Schizosaccharomyces pombe: one gene and its partners. The gene in region 1 interacts genetically with each later gene. Each region holds a gene or a part of one and is shown on either strand. Other genes may lie near its edges. The genes, in order: rok1, set3, ani1 and pfd5.

Region 1 (3,893 bases):
GTTTAAAATACCCGATAATTTTTGGATTAAGGGAGTGAAACGACCCTTGGCTTGTTCAGCAACTGTTTTAGTAGAGTAGTGACTCTTCCTTAAAAAATTGTAATTAATACGAGAGATAATTCGACTTGTGGAAAACATTATACTTCGAAATAGCCTGAATTGGAAAGAGATGGGATTCGGTAAGTTAAGGTTGTGATGAAGTTTCTACTCCCATATACCAATTAAGTAACACCAATTTTTCTCCGTTCATAGGTAATTTCAATGATACACAATATAAAGTAAGTTAAAACAATATAATATTTACTGAAACACACTCGTGATTTCGAAAACGAGAAATTATAAAACAGTGTCAGCAACGTAATATAGCTTTCAAATTGTAGTTAAAATAACAATTGCAAAAACCCTGTTGGGTACTTAAAATAAAATAATCTCCTTGTACCTGTTTACGCCTACATTAATTGTACTCGTGTAGATTTTTATCAGTTTTAAAAAGCCGTACAGCACTTGCTGCATTATTGTTAAACAAAAGATGTAAAGTTAGATATGTCAGGTACCACAGTAACATAAAAGTTTCTTACCACAAATAAAAGTAAAAGAAAATAATATGATTGCTAAAAAATATAAGGCTCTATTATATCAAAGCAATAGTATTTTGGAGTGAATATGACTTTTTTAAATGAACACAAAAACTAAACTAAAACCCAAAACCCTTTATATAAATACTTTCAGTAGCAACAATCTATTGTCCACTGTCTCCAGTAGCTTCATTATGCTTTTTGATAGAGGCTTCTTTTTTTACCTTCTTAATATACTCCTTCTTACGCTGTTCCTTTTGTCTGTCGTAAGAAGCTCTAGTAGTAATCCTCTTTCTTTTAGGAGGACTCTTCTTCAACTTCTTTTTCATTTCTTTACTAGGTTTAGGAAGTGCCATAACCCAGTTTGGAACCTCGCAACCTGATGAACGCATTACACCAGCAATAAGCTTGATATATTCACCATCTTCCTTTGTAAAAAAAGTAACGGCCTGTCCTGTATTTCCTGCACGCCCAGTTCGACCGATACGATGAATATAACTATGAACACTTTGAGGAAAGTCAAAGTTGATGACCATCTTTACACCATGAAAATCGATACCACGAGCAAGAAGATCTGTTGCTATTAAAACCCAAATTTCACCCTTCCGAAATTTCGCAAGTGCTTCTTCGCGCTTGGCTTGTGGTAATTCTCCATGAATGACACCAACGTGAATTTCATCAAATAAGAGTTCTGTGTACAATGCTTTCGCTCTTTCTATATCTTGAACAAATATTACGACTCGAGGCTTTAACTCTCCATTTGAAATCATTTGACGCAAAATCACAATTTTGGAAGTATCCGAACCAACAAACAAGAGTCTCTGATCGATGCTATCCGTGGCTGCATCTTTCAAACCAACGATGATTCGAATCGGATCAACCGTTACGACTTTAGCTAACTCTTCGACGCGTGATGGAATAGTAGCGGAAAAAAGGCTTTTACAAATATTAGAGCTGGTGCATGCACTTAGAATATGATCAGTTTGTTCAATAAAGCCAGGCTCAAAAAGTCTATCAGCTTCATCCATAACAAAGAATTCTACTTTTTCAAAGGACAATCCGGTTTGTATTGCTTGTACTAATCTCATCGGGGTGCCTATGCACATGTCATACTTTTCCCGGAGCTTGGGCGCTTTTTCTTGAATTTTTTCATTAGATTTACTTAATTCAATTATCTTCAATGAAGTTCCAAAAGACAGCTTTTCTGCCTGTCTATATATTTGCTCGCACAGTTCTCTAGTCGGCGCTACGATAATCGCTCTATATCCACCCGGAACATGTAACTGAAGTTTTTGCAAAATTGGGAATAGATATGCAATAGTTTTTCCAGAACCAGTTGGTGCACATGCCAATAGGTCTCGTTTAGAACCTATCGTTGGAATGGCATATCTTTGAATTGTGGTACATTCTGTTATGTTTTGTTTTTTTAAGTTTTCACAAAGTATTCCTTCCGGAAACTCTTCAATTGGATCAACAGGATTATTACCAGTAACTTTAGCTTTTCCCTTAGTAATACCTTGTAATTTTTTTGCTTCTTTTTCTTTTATAGAAGGTTGAGGTACTTTATTCTTAAATTTGACATTAGTTGTCAAAAGTTTCAACGCATCCATTTCCTTATGCAATACTTAATTATCAAAGTTAAAATATTTTAGTAGATATTTCAACGAAGGAACAAAAATAAAAGATTGTTGAAATTTTCAATTATACATATACACGACTAAAGTAAGTATGGTAGCTGCTGGGGAAAGGCTGCACTAACGTCCTCTAGTTAAACCAGTACGTTAATTCAAATTGTGTATTCCAACAGCGTTATTAAATTTATGTATGCTAAGTAAACATAATAAATGTATTCAAAAAAACGCGATTTCTGCGTTTATAGGTTACATATTTTTATATCGTATTTACGAGAAATACTGCTATAGATTTTCTTTCAATTAAATAATTGATTATTTGTATTAATCACTCTTTTACCTATTTGAACAGGACCCTCAAATTAAAGTGAAGCTCAGTAACTTGGTATCCTTTAGATGATCATTAACGTGCGAATGCAAAAAGGATGAATCATGAATGGAAGCACGCGCTGTAAATGAGATAAATCATTTTACAATAGTAGATTGTTTTAGCTGCGCATAAATAAGTAACATAATAGTTTTGTTAGGAAGGAGCAATATATGTTTTTTCCACTTGATTCCATTCGAAAATAATATATAAAATAACTCGTGTTTTTCTATCAAAGTATGATAACGTTGATAAATGCAGTTTGACAGTGAGTGTCATGGATAAAATCATTAACTATCATAACTCGTATCATTAAATAAAGAACGTAACATTAAGACAAGATGTAAATGAAAGTTTCCAAGATTCATTTTTCTCGGGTTAATGCTTCTTCCACAGCATCGAGTATTTCCAAACTCAAATCTTCAGGGTTGATGCCACAACTCATTGCAATAAGACGACGGTAACTATTAACTGTATCATCAATTCCTAGTTCTTCATACAATTTTCTAATATACAAAGTATCTTTTTTGCGGGAAGCTTGGAGAGAAGTTAACTTATTAATTAATTGCTCATATTCATCAGAATTGGTCACGTTGTTGCAAGCCGGCTTTTTAAAATCGTTATTTAACGAAAGTCCGTCTTCCTTTTTTAAAAAGTCGGAAGGAAAACTAATAGATAATGAAGTATGTGGCTTGAGGCTTCTCTCTAAATCAAAGATTTGTCGTGCTTCCAACCATATTAGTAACCTCTTCGAAAGCTGCTGGTAAGTTTCTTGGGCCTCTCGAATCAAGTTTTCCATAGATTGACTATAAGTGGGGTTATTTTTCTGCAGAAAGGTCAATTCCTGATAAGTTCTGGAAATTTCATTAAGCGTGTCTTGCTTGAGACGATTCGCTCTAATCAAATCTTCTTCTTTTTCTCGAAGCTGAGATTCATACTCCTCTGCTAATTGAGAAAATTTCGAAGATATTGAAGGAATTGCCTTAACAAAAGCATGCGATGAGCATGATGGCGAGATAATAGCAGGGCTTATTCCGGAAAATGAAAAAGCACTATGCGAAGCATTTGAGTTTGACTGTAACAATGAATGTGGCTTTTTGTCAGCTTCCAAAAGATACTCGGAAGCTGTACGTCTTTGTCGGTTAGGAATAGAAGGATTGGCGTTATAACTTAATAAAGAGTTTACACAATCCATGGCTCCATTTCGAGCAGCAATTAATAGAGAGGTATCTCCATTTGAATCTTGTAGATTTACCAATCTCACAACATTTTCAAATGGTTGAATCGATATTAGTTTCTCTAATATGCAATCCAAATAGT
Region 2 (5,676 bases), 4.4 Mb from region 1:
ACTTGAACATACAAGGACGGGAAAGAATTTAGGGGGAATATGAGGTTTGTAGAGCTAAATGCCTTCAAAGTATTTATTACTAACGGAAATTTAGGGTACATACTTGCTATTTCTGCTCGGGTCCTGTTTACCCAGGACATGGAATAATGTTTGTTAGAAATGACTCCAAGGTCTTTCGTTTCTGTCGCAGCAAGTGCCATAAGAACTTCAAAATGAAGCGCAATCCTCGTAAGGTATGTTTTTTTTATAATAAAGGAATGCAAAAACGTTATACAGACTTGGTTGAGGAAGATGATTGATTTTGAAAGAGGAAAAATTTTTTTCTGTTGCCTTGTTTTGAAATGATACTTTTCTTCTTCAAATTCTACCTTAAATGGTGTACTTTTTCCTTTATATGCCCATGAACGAAGAAAGTTTTCTATTGTTTTTTTAAATGTTTTGCTTCCACCTATATGTATGTATACTAACTTCAATGTCTAGGTTGCTTGGACCAAAGCGTACCGTAAGGCACATGGAAAGGAAATGGTTTATGACACAGCTCTCGCAGTTACCGCAGCTCGTAGAAATGTTCCTGTTCGTTACGACCGTAATGTCATTGCAACTACTTTGAATGCCATGAAACGGGTTAGCCAAGTTCATGCCAAGAGAGAGCGTCTGTTTTACAAAAAGAGATTGGCTGGCAAACGTGCCCAAGAGCTTCAAGAAGCTCAAAAACTCATTGCTCAAAATGTTCCTCAATTTACCGAACCCGAAGGTGAGGTTGAAACTGCTGAGGTACAAGAACCCCAAATTGTTTCCGACGAGGAGTATACCATGGAAGAAGAAGTTGCAGAACCTGTCAAGATTCCCGTCCTCGCCAAAAAACGCAAAAACAAGAAATCTCGAAACTCATCTTCAGCCATGCAAATGGACTAAACACTCTTCTTCCTACAAAAATGTAACTCTCGATCTTCCGTTGGTTGCGTCCCGCTTCGTTCTTTTATTTTATTTTATTTTATTGTTTTATTCCTTTCAAATTTACAAAATAGTAGAAGAGAAGACATTTTTGGGGAGTGGTTTTCTTACACTTTCGAACTCTTTAGACACTTCGAAAACGTGTTTTTTAAAATTTATCTTGCATATCTAAAGTTGGCATTTGGTTTCGGCTTCTCTTCTCGTTTGGTTACTTCTTTGGACTTGCATGCTACGTGCAGATTAATATGGTTAATAATGGATTTTCGTGTATACATACTTGTAAACGAACCTATCTTCAGTTTGGAGCTTGTACAAGATACAACAGTCTAACAGTTTGAAAAATGGTTGTTTAGGAATAAATTGGTTTATATTATTAGTTTCGTTTATCACAAATGCCTCTTCGAAATGTAAAATTCTACTAGAACGATAGAACATTGCTTCATTATTTGGATTCAATTCTCCATGAGGTATATTTAGTAAGTCATAAAACAGTAAAGACTTTGTCATTTATGCTGGTTTCCTTGCATATACATTTCTCTATAGTTGACAAGCCTATTCAAGTCTCATATCACTGTGGAACTCATGAAAACAGATCCCTCTCCTTGTAAAGCTGTTTAAACCCTACAGTCCAATGCTAAAGGTTGTTAATTCTTTAGAGTTGCGAGTCCGTTATTGACGTTTTCGATTGCTTGCGCACACTCACTAACACCATACATTAGCTAACTACTGACACATTGCACCTGCCGTTTATCTCAACTCATTGTCTTAGTAGATGATTTTTTTTTTTCAAAATGGTTTCTTAGCAAGACTCATTAAAAACTCCTTGACAGTTTTATTACCTTCTAAAATATGTAAAATGAGAAGTTTCATAGAGAAATGAACTATTCTTCAACATCTTCTTCTCTTTGTTTTTACCGAGGAGACGTTAGACTGCGGAAACGTGGTTTATGGGACGTGTGTTTACACTCGGTGGATGGAAATGTTGAAGAGCGGAATAATCGCGACGTCGTATCAACTACCAAAATCGCGTATGCAAATTGAAAACAGAGTATTTGTTCAACTTACATGGTTTTTCGAGTATTTATATACTAGATTCCTAGTTTTAGGAGAGTTCAGATAATCGAGATAGCCATTGGTATAGTTGGGGCTAAAATCTTTGCTTTCATAAGAAAGCAGTAATTTCCAAGGTTAAATTGCTCCTGTACAGAAATTAGCGTTTATGAAATACTTCTTTACTTTGTTATAAGTTGATCGTTTTCTCTTTGGTTAAGTTAGCATGTGGAAAATACGATGCGTTTGTCCATTCGAGGATGATGACGGATTCACCATCCAATGCGAAAGTTGCGAGGTATGGCAACACGCCGTTTGTGTAAACATAGATGCAAATAATGTTCCTGAAAAATATTTTTGTGAACAATGCCAACCTCGTCCTATCGATGCCGACAAGGCGCATAAAATTCAACTAGCTAGGTTACAGCGCGAAGAAGAGCAGTCTAGGATATTATCGCGATCCCGTTCTTCCAACAACAAGAGAAGAACTAGTTTTGGCAAAAATGGTGCTAGTCCTACACACTCTGCGTCACCGAGACAAGGCAATAACACAGGCGCTAATGGCGCTTTATTTTCACAGTCTACCAACTCTTCGAACTCGGGGTCTTATCGTAACAGTGTGACTGGTGCAACATTGCCCAATGCTCATGCTCCACATTCTCAGAATCGCAGACGAAGATCCAACCACCTTAACAACCCACCAGAGGCTCCAATCACCGAGGCTTCTAACGAATATGTGTATTCGTTTCACTTGGAATACGTCCCTTTGGAATCAAACACCTTTTCTGCATCTGCGCTTGAGTATTCTAAGAATTTGGATTTAAAGAATTTAGATGAATCCGAAGTTTTAATGGATGGATGCCAAGTCGTACCTATATCATCTTCAAAGTTTTGTTGTAGTCGCTTTGGTTTGGTGTCAACTTGCGAAATTCCTCCAAATACACCCATTATGGAGGTGAAAGGAAGGGTTTGTACGCAGAATGAATACAAAAGTGATCCCAAAAACCAGTACAATATTTTGGGGGCTCCTAAGCCACATGTCTTTTTTGACTCAAATTCTCAGCTTGTTGTTGACTCACGGGTTGCTGGTTCAAAAGCGAGGTTTGCGCGTAAAGGTTGTCAGTCAAACTCCGTCGTTTCAAGTGTTTACATGAATGGGTCTAACAGTGTTCCTCGATTTATCCTCTATTCAACTACTCACATAGCTCCGGAAACAGAGATTATTGGGGATTGGACTCTCGATATTTCCCATCCATTTCGCCAGTTTGCGCCTGGTATGTCGCGACCCTCCTTCAATATGGAAGAGTTGGAATTACTTTCAGAAGTGCTTTCTACCTTCCTGTCGTTTAACGAATGTGCCTCACAGGATAAGAAAAACTGTGTTTTTTCCAGAGTTACTAAATATATTAAAGCGGCCCGCCGCGCTTCTACTGCAAACCGTGTCAGTGTAGCAAAAGACCGTTTGTCTCTGACACCTTCCTCAACCCCTTCTACCCCTAGCCCTGCTGAATCATTACCGCAACCTTCAAACCCCACATCGGTCTATGCCAAATCCTTGAAAGAGTTTTGGTTAGATAAGTACCGTCTTAGTATTTTGCAAAAATGGCCTGCTGTTAAGTCATTACCCACAGAAAGTGTAGGAATCGATGTAGTCATGGAGCCGAAGTTACAGCCATCTGTGAAGGAGAAAAAACCAACTAAAGATTTACAATCTCCACTACCCTCTGTTGAGGAAGATTCCTCTAATAGGGACAAGAAAACTGATATTGCTGATTTACACACTGATTCTAAGGTGGGCATTGCAGACGTCTTATCGCCCATTTCACCCGATGCTGCATTACAATCCGATGGTCCATTGAAAAAAGCAAAGGAACCTGAAGAATCCTCGATAACCCCTACAACTCCTCCATCTTTTAATGTTGGAGAATCACTAAGTAGGCGATCAGCCTCACCATTACAACATCCTCGAACAAGCCCAGATATGCTGGACAAAACTTCTCCTTGCAAAAGAGGATTAGGAACTATTACGACAGTCCACAAAAAGCATGGTTCTGTTGATCATTTGCCGTCAGTTAAAAGACGCCGTAGCATTGCAAATGATTTTCATGGCAAACCTGATTATAATAAAAGATCGCTATCTATCGAAAGGAAGCCGGAAGCCTTTAAGACTAAAGGTGACAGACCACATAAGGTCCATCCTTCTTTCCATAGAAATTCAGATTCAAAATTGAAACTCGAGCCGTCGAGTAAAGAAAAGAGTGGGTCCATGTTTTTTAATACGTTAAGGACTGTAAAAGATAAATCGCATGTTCACGACACTCAAAGGTCTTCTGACGTTAACTTTTCTAGACAGAATGGCACTCGATCCCATTCACCTTCGGTTAGTCCTGTCGGGTTTTCGTTTGATAAATCTCCTGTAACTACGCCTCCTTTGCCGACAGCTCCAGCACCAGTTATAACGAGTCGCCATGCTTTGGTAAACAACCAATTTCCTACGAACAATCCAAACATTTTGGACCACAAAGCCAACAACGGTGATGATATCTCGAATGCGTTAAATACTTCAAGAAGCGAAAACAAGCCCAATTCGAATCTGGTCCAAGGAAGTGTAGTCAAGCCTAGTAACACTTCAGCCTCTGCTCTTCCTACCTCAGCACCGAAGAAGCTATCTCTTTCTGAGTATCGACAACGACGTCAACAAAACATTCTGCATCAACAGTCGAAGGATAATCAAGCACATGGCGATACAGCTAGGCCTCACACCGTTCCTGCTGCTACAGTTTCTAACCCTTCATTTACGCGATAAAAATTCTAGAAGATGTTGTAAATCTTGAAACCATATAAATGTGTGGATGATTTTTTTTATTGGATATGGTATACGAACAAGTTTTCACGATTCTAAAGTTGGTACGATGACTGCATCTTTTTACCTTCATATGTATTTTCATTTCATTTTTTTATTATGATGATTGGTACTCGGAGCATATTTTACTGTCACCTGCTTCTGCATTCTTTTCTTCTTCGTTTGTAAATATTTAATGACTAAGTGTTTGGGCGAAAACTCTAGTTCCTTTTTTTTTTTTTAGTTTCTTTTGATTCAGAGCAACGAACCCTCAGTCGTTGCATTTTTCTGTTCCTAATTTGCACGTTTAGAACATTGTACAATATAATAATATTAATTTATAGCAGTTAAATGATTTATGTTTGTCATATAGAAGTTTCGGTTCGTAAGATTATAAGAACTAACTATTTAAGATGTCAGCTATTTCCGTATGCGACATGTACTAGATTAAATAACTTTTTGGATACGCAAATGAAGCTAGTACATTTTGAGTATTAAGTATCATAAATATAAACATCGATTCAAATATGCTACGTGCAGATTTCAGCGAATTGTCGCATCAAATTAAACTATTCATCGACGATCCACTCAGATCTTGTATATATCAAACGGCCTACGTTAATATAGCTTGTCTACTTATAGCGACTCTGAAAGTGCGCCGTTAGATTATTGTGGTATAGAACCGGGAGGTTAGGTACCATTCCTCTCTCTCCATGAACCTACTTTTTTAAGCGAAACGCAAACAAAAGTAAACAATTACCAATGAACATTTCACGTTCATCAGGTCTGATGAGACAGTTCCTGCTTCAGCCCTTACGGAAAGGCTGCGA
Region 3 (4,001 bases), on another chromosome or scaffold:
TCAAAATCCGAAGCTGAATTTGATGCAAAAGCACTTGGCATTTACCCATTCTGGAAAGCAACTCATGAAGCAACCGTTTTAAGAAATCTATCCCATCCTCTTGAAAAACGAAACGAACACCCCAATTAACATCTACGGATATGGACCTCCGTGGGGTTTCATTATTGATTATATCGGTATCAATTCCTCTGGAAATATTGTATAAATGCAGACCGTAATTTACCCCAAAAGTCTCTTGAAGATTGAATTTTTCAATTCTTTGCAGCTGCCCAATAGTACGCACACCGTACAAATTAAAAAGTTTCTGCGCTTGTGAAGAGCCCACCCCTGGTAAATCTTGAACAGACAAAGGACTCAATACATCAAAAACATTTTCTATTGACAAAGAATAAACGTTGTGAGGCTTCGCCTTCCTAAGTGCAAGTCTTGCTAAGAGAACATTTGGGCCAATACCAACGCTAACTTCGCAATTGGTTTTCTCGCGAACCTGCGAGCGGATAGACTCGGCAATCTCAAAGCAATCTTGAAAAGATGAAACACTAGAAGTTATATCTAGAAGAGCCTCGTCTATACTTATAACCTTAATATAGTCGTGAAGTGTATTAACAAGGATAGTGTAAAATTCTCTAGAAACAGATTCGTATGCTCCAAAATCATAATCAACAACCCGTAATGAAGGACACAGGTTTTTAGCTGTTCCAACGTACATACCATTTTTTATGCCAAACTTCCGAGCCTCATAATTACAACTAGCTATTTCGGAATTTTTTATACCATGAGCAACAGCAACGGGCTTCAGTCGTAGCTCATGAGAAAAGCGTGTTGAAACGGAAGCAAAAAAGCAATCAAAATCAACATGAAGAAGGAAACGAGATTTTTTTGATTTATCTTTCATAATTGGACGAACAGGTTCAGAAGCAGTAGTCATTGCTTGGATTTCATTTTTAAAATCAGCTTTCCAAGTACTTAAGTGATGTAAACGAGAGGAGCTAAAGAAATTCTCAAGAAAATCTTGATTTTGAGTGGTTGAATTTCGGACATTGGGATTTTTTAACAATTGATAGTTGTGCAGTGAAGACGCTGATAATCCACTCAAATCATCTAAAAATCCCTTTGCTTTACTCTCTTTTGTTTTATCTTTTTCATTATCATGTTCTTCTTCCTGCGAGCTTGTTTGAATATCTTCTAAGTTACCTTCGGGTTGGCTAGGTTTAGAGGCGACAAAAGAAAGGGTAGCTTGAGCCGATGAAGCTTGAAAGGTACGATAATTTATCCACGGAAGAATTTTCTTCTGTTTGATGCAATCCACTATCCATTCTGGTTTAACCACTTTCTGATGCTTCCATTGGCGAGCTTTGGAAGGAGTGAGAAATGAACACACCAAATATGATATGCTTGTTTTTCCATCAACATATTGTATAAAAGTACCTCCATTTGAAACTATCATTTGCCGTAATTCGGTATAAGACGGCTTTGTATATCCATTAATCGCTATTGCAAGTCCATGAAAGAGATCAGATTTAGAATCTTCATCAATACTTTTGTATAGAGCGGCATTTTGATTTTGAAGCTTTCTTTGTTTCCGGGAAAAATAATCTGCATAGTCGTGGAACCCAACACTTTCGTATGCCTCATCGTTTGCTTCGTCAAAGTCTGCAATCCCTACTGGGCGTCGACGCTTCCTTTGATTAAAAGCCATCCAGCGCGCTTCTCACTTTCAGTAAATATAAGTATTAATATGTTTCTGAAAGGAAAATAATACAAATAATAATGTAGCCACTTAAGCGGAAAAAGTGTAATTAATAAACAAACAATGTTTATAAAGAAAAACTAACTGCAAGAGCTTTTTTCTTTCATTATTTAACCTTATCCCAAAACTCGTGAAGCCAAACTATTTCAAAGTAAAAAACAACGAAATATCAAAAATAATTACTACGCGTTTGTTGTGATGCACGCTCGTCCAAATTTAATTAATTTTGAGTATAATTTGCAAATCGCGGTAATACGCACTACCCTTACTTAATGGAATACACAACGGTTTATGTATCAAAATTTTTTACATCCTCTACCACCTCACCTCTTAGGCAAGAATAAGTCATGTCTCTTCCAATTGCTGTTTATAGTCTTTCGGTAAAGGGAAAAGATGTTCCCGCTGTGGAGGAATCTACAGATGCATCTATTCATTTGACTATGGCATCCATTGATGCCGGCGAAAAGTCTAATAAACCAACTACTTTATTGGTGAAGGTTCGTCCCCGTATCCCCGTTGAAGATGAAGATGACGAAGAACTTGACGAACAAATGCAAGAGCTTCTGGAAGAAAGCCAGCGTGAATTTGTTTTATGTACTTTGAAGCCTGGTTCCTTATACCAACAGCCTTTAAATTTGACCATTACTCCTGGCGACGAAGTCTTCTTCAGTGCATCTGGCGATGCAACCATCCACTTGTCTGGTAACTTTTTGGTTGACGAAGAAGATGAGGAAGAGGAAGAATCTGACGAGGATTACGATTTGTCTCCTACTGAGGAGGATCTTGTCGAGACTGTCAGCGGTGATGAGGAAAGTGAAGAGGAATCTGAGTCGGAAGATAATTCAGCATCTGAGGAGGATGAATTGGATTCAGCTCCTGCTAAAAAGGCACAGGTTAAAAAAAAACGTACTAAGGATGAATCCGAGCAAGAAGAGGCTGCTTCTCCTAAGAAAAACAATACCAAGAAGCAAAAGGTTGAGGGTACCCCTGTTAAGGAAAAGAAGGTTGCATTTGCCGAAAAACTTGAACAAGGACCTACTGGTCCCGCTGCTAAGAAAGAAAAGCAACAAGCTTCTTCTAATGCACCTTCTAGTCCCAAGACTCGTACTTTAAAAGGAGGCGTGGTTGTAACTGATGTTAAAACTGGGAGCGGTGCGTCTGCTACCAATGGGAAAAAAGTTGAAATGAGATATATTGGGAAGCTCGAAAATGGAAAGGTTTTTGACAAAAACACTAAAGGTAAACCCTTTGCTTTTATCCTTGGTCGTGGTGAGGTTATTCGCGGGTGGGACGTCGGCGTTGCTGGAATGCAAGAAGGCGGTGAGCGTAAGATTACAATTCCTGCTCCCATGGCTTACGGCAACCAGAGCATTCCAGGAATTCCCAAGAATTCTACCTTAGTTTTTGAAGTCAAGCTTGTTCGCGTTCACTAAATTTTCATGTTGAAGATGAACATACTTTAACTCCCGTGTTTAAGAAGATCGCGGATTAAACTATGTATTCTATTAACTCTTTTTATCGCCTATCTTTTTCTTAGGTTTCAAAAAAAATCAGGGTATCATTTTGTATTTGAGTTAGGAAATTTTTTTTTAGTTAAGTGTTACAAACACTTTGGATATAGGACTTTTGGATGATTTGGATTGTTGGGTGATAAAGGAGATATAATCAATATACAATTTTTTAGAAAGAGCTGTTTGTATGTGTATGAGCATTAAGAGAAAAGAGAATAGCGCTTCCTTGATCGATACTAGTTAAGGATGTTTAAATTATGGAATTTTGAGTTTGAGTAAATATAAACGAGAACATTCCGAAAAACTCTATTAAAAGTAAAAAAAAACATATTGATAATAAAAGAGCCATTATCTGATTATCGCTAAATAAGTCTACAAACAGCTGTTTGTTTACGAAATTCTTAAAATTAATTATCGTAATAATCAACTTAAAAAAAAACAAGCAGTTTTAGAATTTAAAGAATTATTTTTATTATTTGTCTTTTTTCTATATTGTTTATTTGAAAATTGTGCTTCTGTTTACAGGCAAATCTTAAGGCGGGCATATATTTTTCTGAAACGTAAACAATCAACATGCCCAAATCAAGCAACTTGAAAATGCAGAGAAAAGGCTCTTTAAGAGAAAACGGTCTCGTGAAGGGTTTAAATAAAAATAGTAAGATATAAATTGGTGTGATAAATAAGTTAATGACATAGAATTTTCGATCAGCAAGTTAAAAGAACTATCTCATGCAGATGAC
Region 4 (3,997 bases), on another chromosome or scaffold:
AGCTTTTATACATCTGGTACTCGTCACTGGCCTATAACCAGTTGGCCAATTCTATAACCTACAGTGTTCCGACTAGTTACGAGTTTTCTATTATGAGCTTAAATCTACTAGTCAATCAGGAAGAATTAAAGAGATATCTGGATGAATATGGTGGTAAGAGTTTTTCAATTGATGCATTTTTGCAAGTCATTCTTTTATTCACAGTTTCATAGTATGGTCCAAAATATTTCGCGCGCTGTTTGTCGCCCGTAATTCTAAGCCGTTAAGAAGTTTTTGTGTTCATTATGCCATTAAAGAATTGAAAGAAAAGACATATAATCTAGAGTTGTACCAGTCTCTATTCGAGGAGTTTCAAGATTGCTTCGAAAACGAGCAGCTGGACGTAGAATGGGTTGAAAGCGTTACTTTTCATAGGAAACAAAATCTAGAACAATTAAGAAGGGAACTAAAAGCCTATAAAAACAACTTAATACGAGAATCTATAAGAGTATGAGCTACAAGATAACTTTTTGCTTCACAGACTTTTTATTACATCCTTTGTTACAATTCTAACAACTTTAGGCGGCACAACTAGATTTAGCTTCTTTTTTTGCTGATGTGGGCCAGTTTGATAGTGCTTTAAGATCATATGCCAAAGTTCGCGAATATTGTACAAATGCTGGACAAATTGCTCATTTATCCTTAGAGTTAATGAGAATTTCTATTTGGATTGGTAATTATTCTCATGTACTAGCCTTCGGGTCTCGCGCCAAGTCTACTGTTAGTGCAGCCATGGAGCTAACTAGTCCTATTTATGCATACTGTGGATTGGCCAACTTTTGCTTGGGTGATTACGAAGAGGCCCTGGCTCATTTTTTAAAAGTTGAAACTGATACCTCTGATGGTATTATTACAAAAACTGACATTTCAGTGTATATCTCACTTTGTGCACTAGCGTGCTGGGATCATAAACGTCTGATTCAAGAGCTTGAAAGAAATGAAGAGTTCAATGCTTTGTCAGATTTAGACCCTTCCCTGAGACGTTGTTTGCAAGCGAAATGTAATCGCAAATATAGTCTTTTGCTTGATACATTACAGCAAAATGCTCAAGACTATTCTTTAGACATGTATCTGGCTCCTCAATTGACAAATTTATTTTCCCTTATTCGGGAGCGTTCACTTCTTGACTATTTAATTCCTTACAGTGCTTTGCCGTTCAGCAAAATTGCAGTTGATTTTCATATTGATGAGAACTTCATTGAGAAAAATTTATTAGAAATAATCGAAGCCAAAAAATTAAATGGCAAGGTGGACTCTCTTCAAAAGGTAAGTATAATAAATCTGCTATATTGGTCTAACTTTATAAGCGTGTTTATATCGAACCTTCTTCAGAGCCTGAAAACTTCGAGGACATAAAAAATATCGCGCAAACTAGTTTGCTTTACAGCAAGGCTCTTTACTTACAAACATTGGCGGCGATGAACACTGAAAATACTGACGACGAAGCTCCAGTTATCGCTCAAACGAACATTACCGCGGAAGATTCACAGAACTAACAAAAAGCATGCACATCATATAATTGGTTAATCCTTTACTTACTTTTTTTGAAATTTCATTAATTATTTAGCTTATGAAGATTTAGTTGCAGCTGTTGTAGCTGTTGCCTTTTGTTGCATAATGTTTTGAACGGCTACAGAGAATTAGCAAATTGTTGATAATAAGATAAAAATTGATCTGTACTGTAAATGCTCATACCTCTAATTTGAACTGATTTTGCGTCAATGGCATTGTTGAGGTTCTCGATACTGCTGGCGAGATATTCACATTTTCTTTTATAATATTCGGTAGCTTCTCCAGCGGACTAATGTCGTTAGGTTTAAAAATCTCTTATATATTAAAAATACCTTTTCAACGTAATAACCAGTCCCAATATCGACCAACAATTTACTGTTTCCTAAATTCAGCTTTCCAGGAACATACAAGCTTGAAGTCAAAGGTACCAAAACCTCCTTTCCTATTGACAATAGTTAGTGAAACATATGCAAAAAAAATTTCAGTTTGTCTATACCATCGTTCTCAGCCCGCACAGCATCGTTAACGTTTGCCAGGCATTCACGAAATTTCAATTGAGCACGTCCTAGTTGTCCATAGGAGGTCGATAGATACTCTAGCTCAGAATCTAACTGTTTTATAACTTCTGATAATTGCTCCAAGCTGAGAGAAGTCAAATCGACCGCTTTATTACCTTCAGCCATTATTACGCTTCTATTAGAACAGTCAAGATACGAAGGAACTGGTAGAAATTCCAACGCTGCACTGCATTAAATTACAGGTACATGGTAATCCATTTCAATATACAATCAGTTAGTTGGTTGAAACAATATTTGTTTTAAACAGTTATTCAGAATTATACCAAACAGTGAAAGTAGAATCGAATATGTTATTGAGCAGAGGGACGCTATAGAATATATCAATATAGATGATAGATTTTTCAATAATTAATAAATTATGAGCATGAAGATTAACAAAATTTGGGAAAATAATACTAGTTAGGATGCATTATAGTGCCATTGATTAGAAGTTTAAGTATAGCTTTTTAAGCATCATTTTTTTTGTATGGATCAAATTGAAGCAAATCTTTATCGTTTTCTACAACATCACCAACATCATCTTCGGTATCTGAAGAATTTGAAGGTGTTTTTTCAGTCGCCGTAGTTTCCGATGTGGTAATTTCAGAAGTAGTATTTTGATTGCTAGTACCATTTGCGGTACTTGGACGAGAAGCGGGTTTATGCCCACGAAATGTTTTACCAATCCTATTGGTATCAATTACCAAAGAATCCAATAAACCTCTCAAACCTCCGGTGGTTGATGATTTTTCTTGGACTGGAGCTAAAACGATAGAGTCGGCGAGTCCTCCAGAAAATAATTGCTCTAATAAACCAATTGATAAAACAACCATTCTAAAAGTGGGAAGACTAACTTTGATATCACTATTAGCACCAACAGAACGGTTTTCAGAACCAGTACTGCTCATATGGTCGCTTATATCAATCAACGTATCAGAATGACCATCAGGACTAGCTTCATCAGCAAAATGAAAGCAGCGTTGTATGAATTCGCTAACTGCGGATAGATACTCATCACCCATAAACCTAGTTAACCAAAGAATAGCTTCTGAAACCTTCAAAACGTCTGGTTTATCCATAAAACCATCTCCATTAAAGTCATAAAGCTCGAATATAAAAGATATATTGCGCATTACATCCCTAAATTTCAATTCTGCAATACCGGACACCAAATCCTGTAAAGATAATGATCCAGTCATGCTTTTGTCAAATCGTAAAAACAAATGACGAAGAAAGGATGATGAATTATTGATAGCCGCTGCATCCAAACCTTTCGCCCATTCAGTAACTCCTGCTAAAAATATACAAAATTCGTCAAATTCCAACCGTGTATCAGTAGAGCTGCCTAATCCAACTCGATGTTTGGACGACAATACTTCATGATAACGGTCGTAAATATTACTTAAATCCGTACGTGTTAATGTACCGTAATTTTGTAAACTCCTAATTTGTGTTCTCTTTGCAAATGACTCAATAGAATTCATAACTCCTTCGTAATGTTTTTTCCTTTCATCTTCAATTAAAGAGTGTGTTATATGGCTAAACTTCTTGAAAGCAGTTACCAATAAAAGTTGAAACTTCGTGATAGAGGCAACGCGTTTATCTGTTGCATCTTTATAAGCCTTATCTCCCAATGATGAAAAATAATTTTTTAAAATTGATATCAACATAGTGTCTTCTGTAGCCTTCATAATTTCAGCTTCGTTGTCATATAGGATAGCCATTCCAATTTGAAACAAAACCCTTGGACCCTCTAGAAAGAAAAAGTCTAACAACCTAAACGCATACGGTAAAGGCATTGTGCAAAGGAAAAGCGACAAAAACCACGGCAAAGAAATGATGCTAAGTTGAATGTCTTTGCTTACAAAATGCGCATGTAAGTTAGGCAT

What was found.
Region 2: mutations in rok1 (region 1) and set3 together harm fitness more than expected from each alone (negative genetic interaction), as found in Schizosaccharomyces pombe (2 studies listed by BioGRID).
Region 3: mutations in rok1 (region 1) and ani1 together harm fitness less than expected from each alone (positive genetic interaction), as found in Schizosaccharomyces pombe (2 studies listed by BioGRID).
Region 4: mutations in rok1 (region 1) and pfd5 together harm fitness more than expected from each alone (negative genetic interaction), as found in Schizosaccharomyces pombe (2 studies listed by BioGRID).

The regions. Positions count from the first base shown.
Region 1 is NC_003424.3:687,775-691,667, reverse strand, and holds rok1 (ATP-dependent RNA helicase Rok1), read right to left. Parts: upstream 2,316-3,893; 5' UTR 2,186-2,315; coding exon 740-2,185; 3' UTR 546-739; downstream 1-545. Other genes in the region: atp20 (F0-ATPase subunit G), read right to left, coding at 12-138; MBF transcription factor complex subunit Res2, read right to left, coding at 2,938-3,893.
Region 2 is NC_003424.3:5,039,036-5,044,711, reverse strand, and holds set3 (putative histone H3 lysine methyltransferase Set3), read left to right. Parts: upstream 1-1,967; 5' UTR 1,968-2,230; coding exon 2,231-4,810; 3' UTR 4,811-5,166; downstream 5,167-5,676. Other genes in the region: ribosome biogenesis protein rlp24, read left to right, coding at 40-44, 95-233, 481-915; etp1 (monooxygenase-ferredoxin fusion protein), read left to right, coding at 5,609-5,676. UniProt on the Schizosaccharomyces pombe protein: Transcriptional regulator that acts via the formation of large multiprotein complexes that modify and/or remodel the chromatin. Required for both gene activation and repression.
Region 3 is NC_003423.3:4,062,460-4,066,460, forward strand, and holds ani1 (FKBP-type peptidyl-prolyl cis-trans isomerase), read left to right. Parts: upstream 1-2,060; 5' UTR 2,061-2,097; coding exon 2,098-3,183; 3' UTR 3,184-3,501; downstream 3,502-4,001. Other genes in the region: deoxycytidyl transferase Rev1, read right to left, coding at 1-1,699; sporulation specific PIL domain protein Meu14, read left to right, coding at 3,835-3,916, 3,958-4,001. UniProt on the Schizosaccharomyces pombe protein: PPIase that acts as a histone chaperone. Histone proline isomerase that increases the rate of cis-trans isomerization at prolines on the histone H3 N-terminal tail. Proline isomerization influences H3 methylation thereby regulating gene expression.
Region 4 is NC_003423.3:4,025,655-4,029,651, reverse strand, and holds pfd5 (prefoldin subunit 5), read right to left. Parts: upstream 2,247-3,997; 5' UTR 2,235-2,246; coding exon 2,048-2,234; exon of another isoform or gene 1,994-2,047; coding exon 1,884-1,993; exon of another isoform or gene 1,841-1,883; coding exon 1,735-1,840; exon of another isoform or gene 1,670-1,734; coding exon 1,608-1,669; 3' UTR 1,536-1,607; coding exon of another isoform or gene 1,347-1,535; 3' UTR 1,306-1,346; coding exon of another isoform or gene 562-1,305; 3' UTR 509-561; downstream 1-508. Other genes in the region: COP9/signalosome complex subunit Csn1, read left to right, coding at 93-153, 213-487, 562-1,305, 1,347-1,535; SPOM_SPBC215.01 (GTPase-activating protein), read right to left, coding at 2,576-3,997. UniProt on the Schizosaccharomyces pombe protein: Binds specifically to cytosolic chaperonin (c-CPN) and transfers target proteins to it. Binds to nascent polypeptide chain and promotes folding in an environment in which there are many competing pathways for nonnative proteins.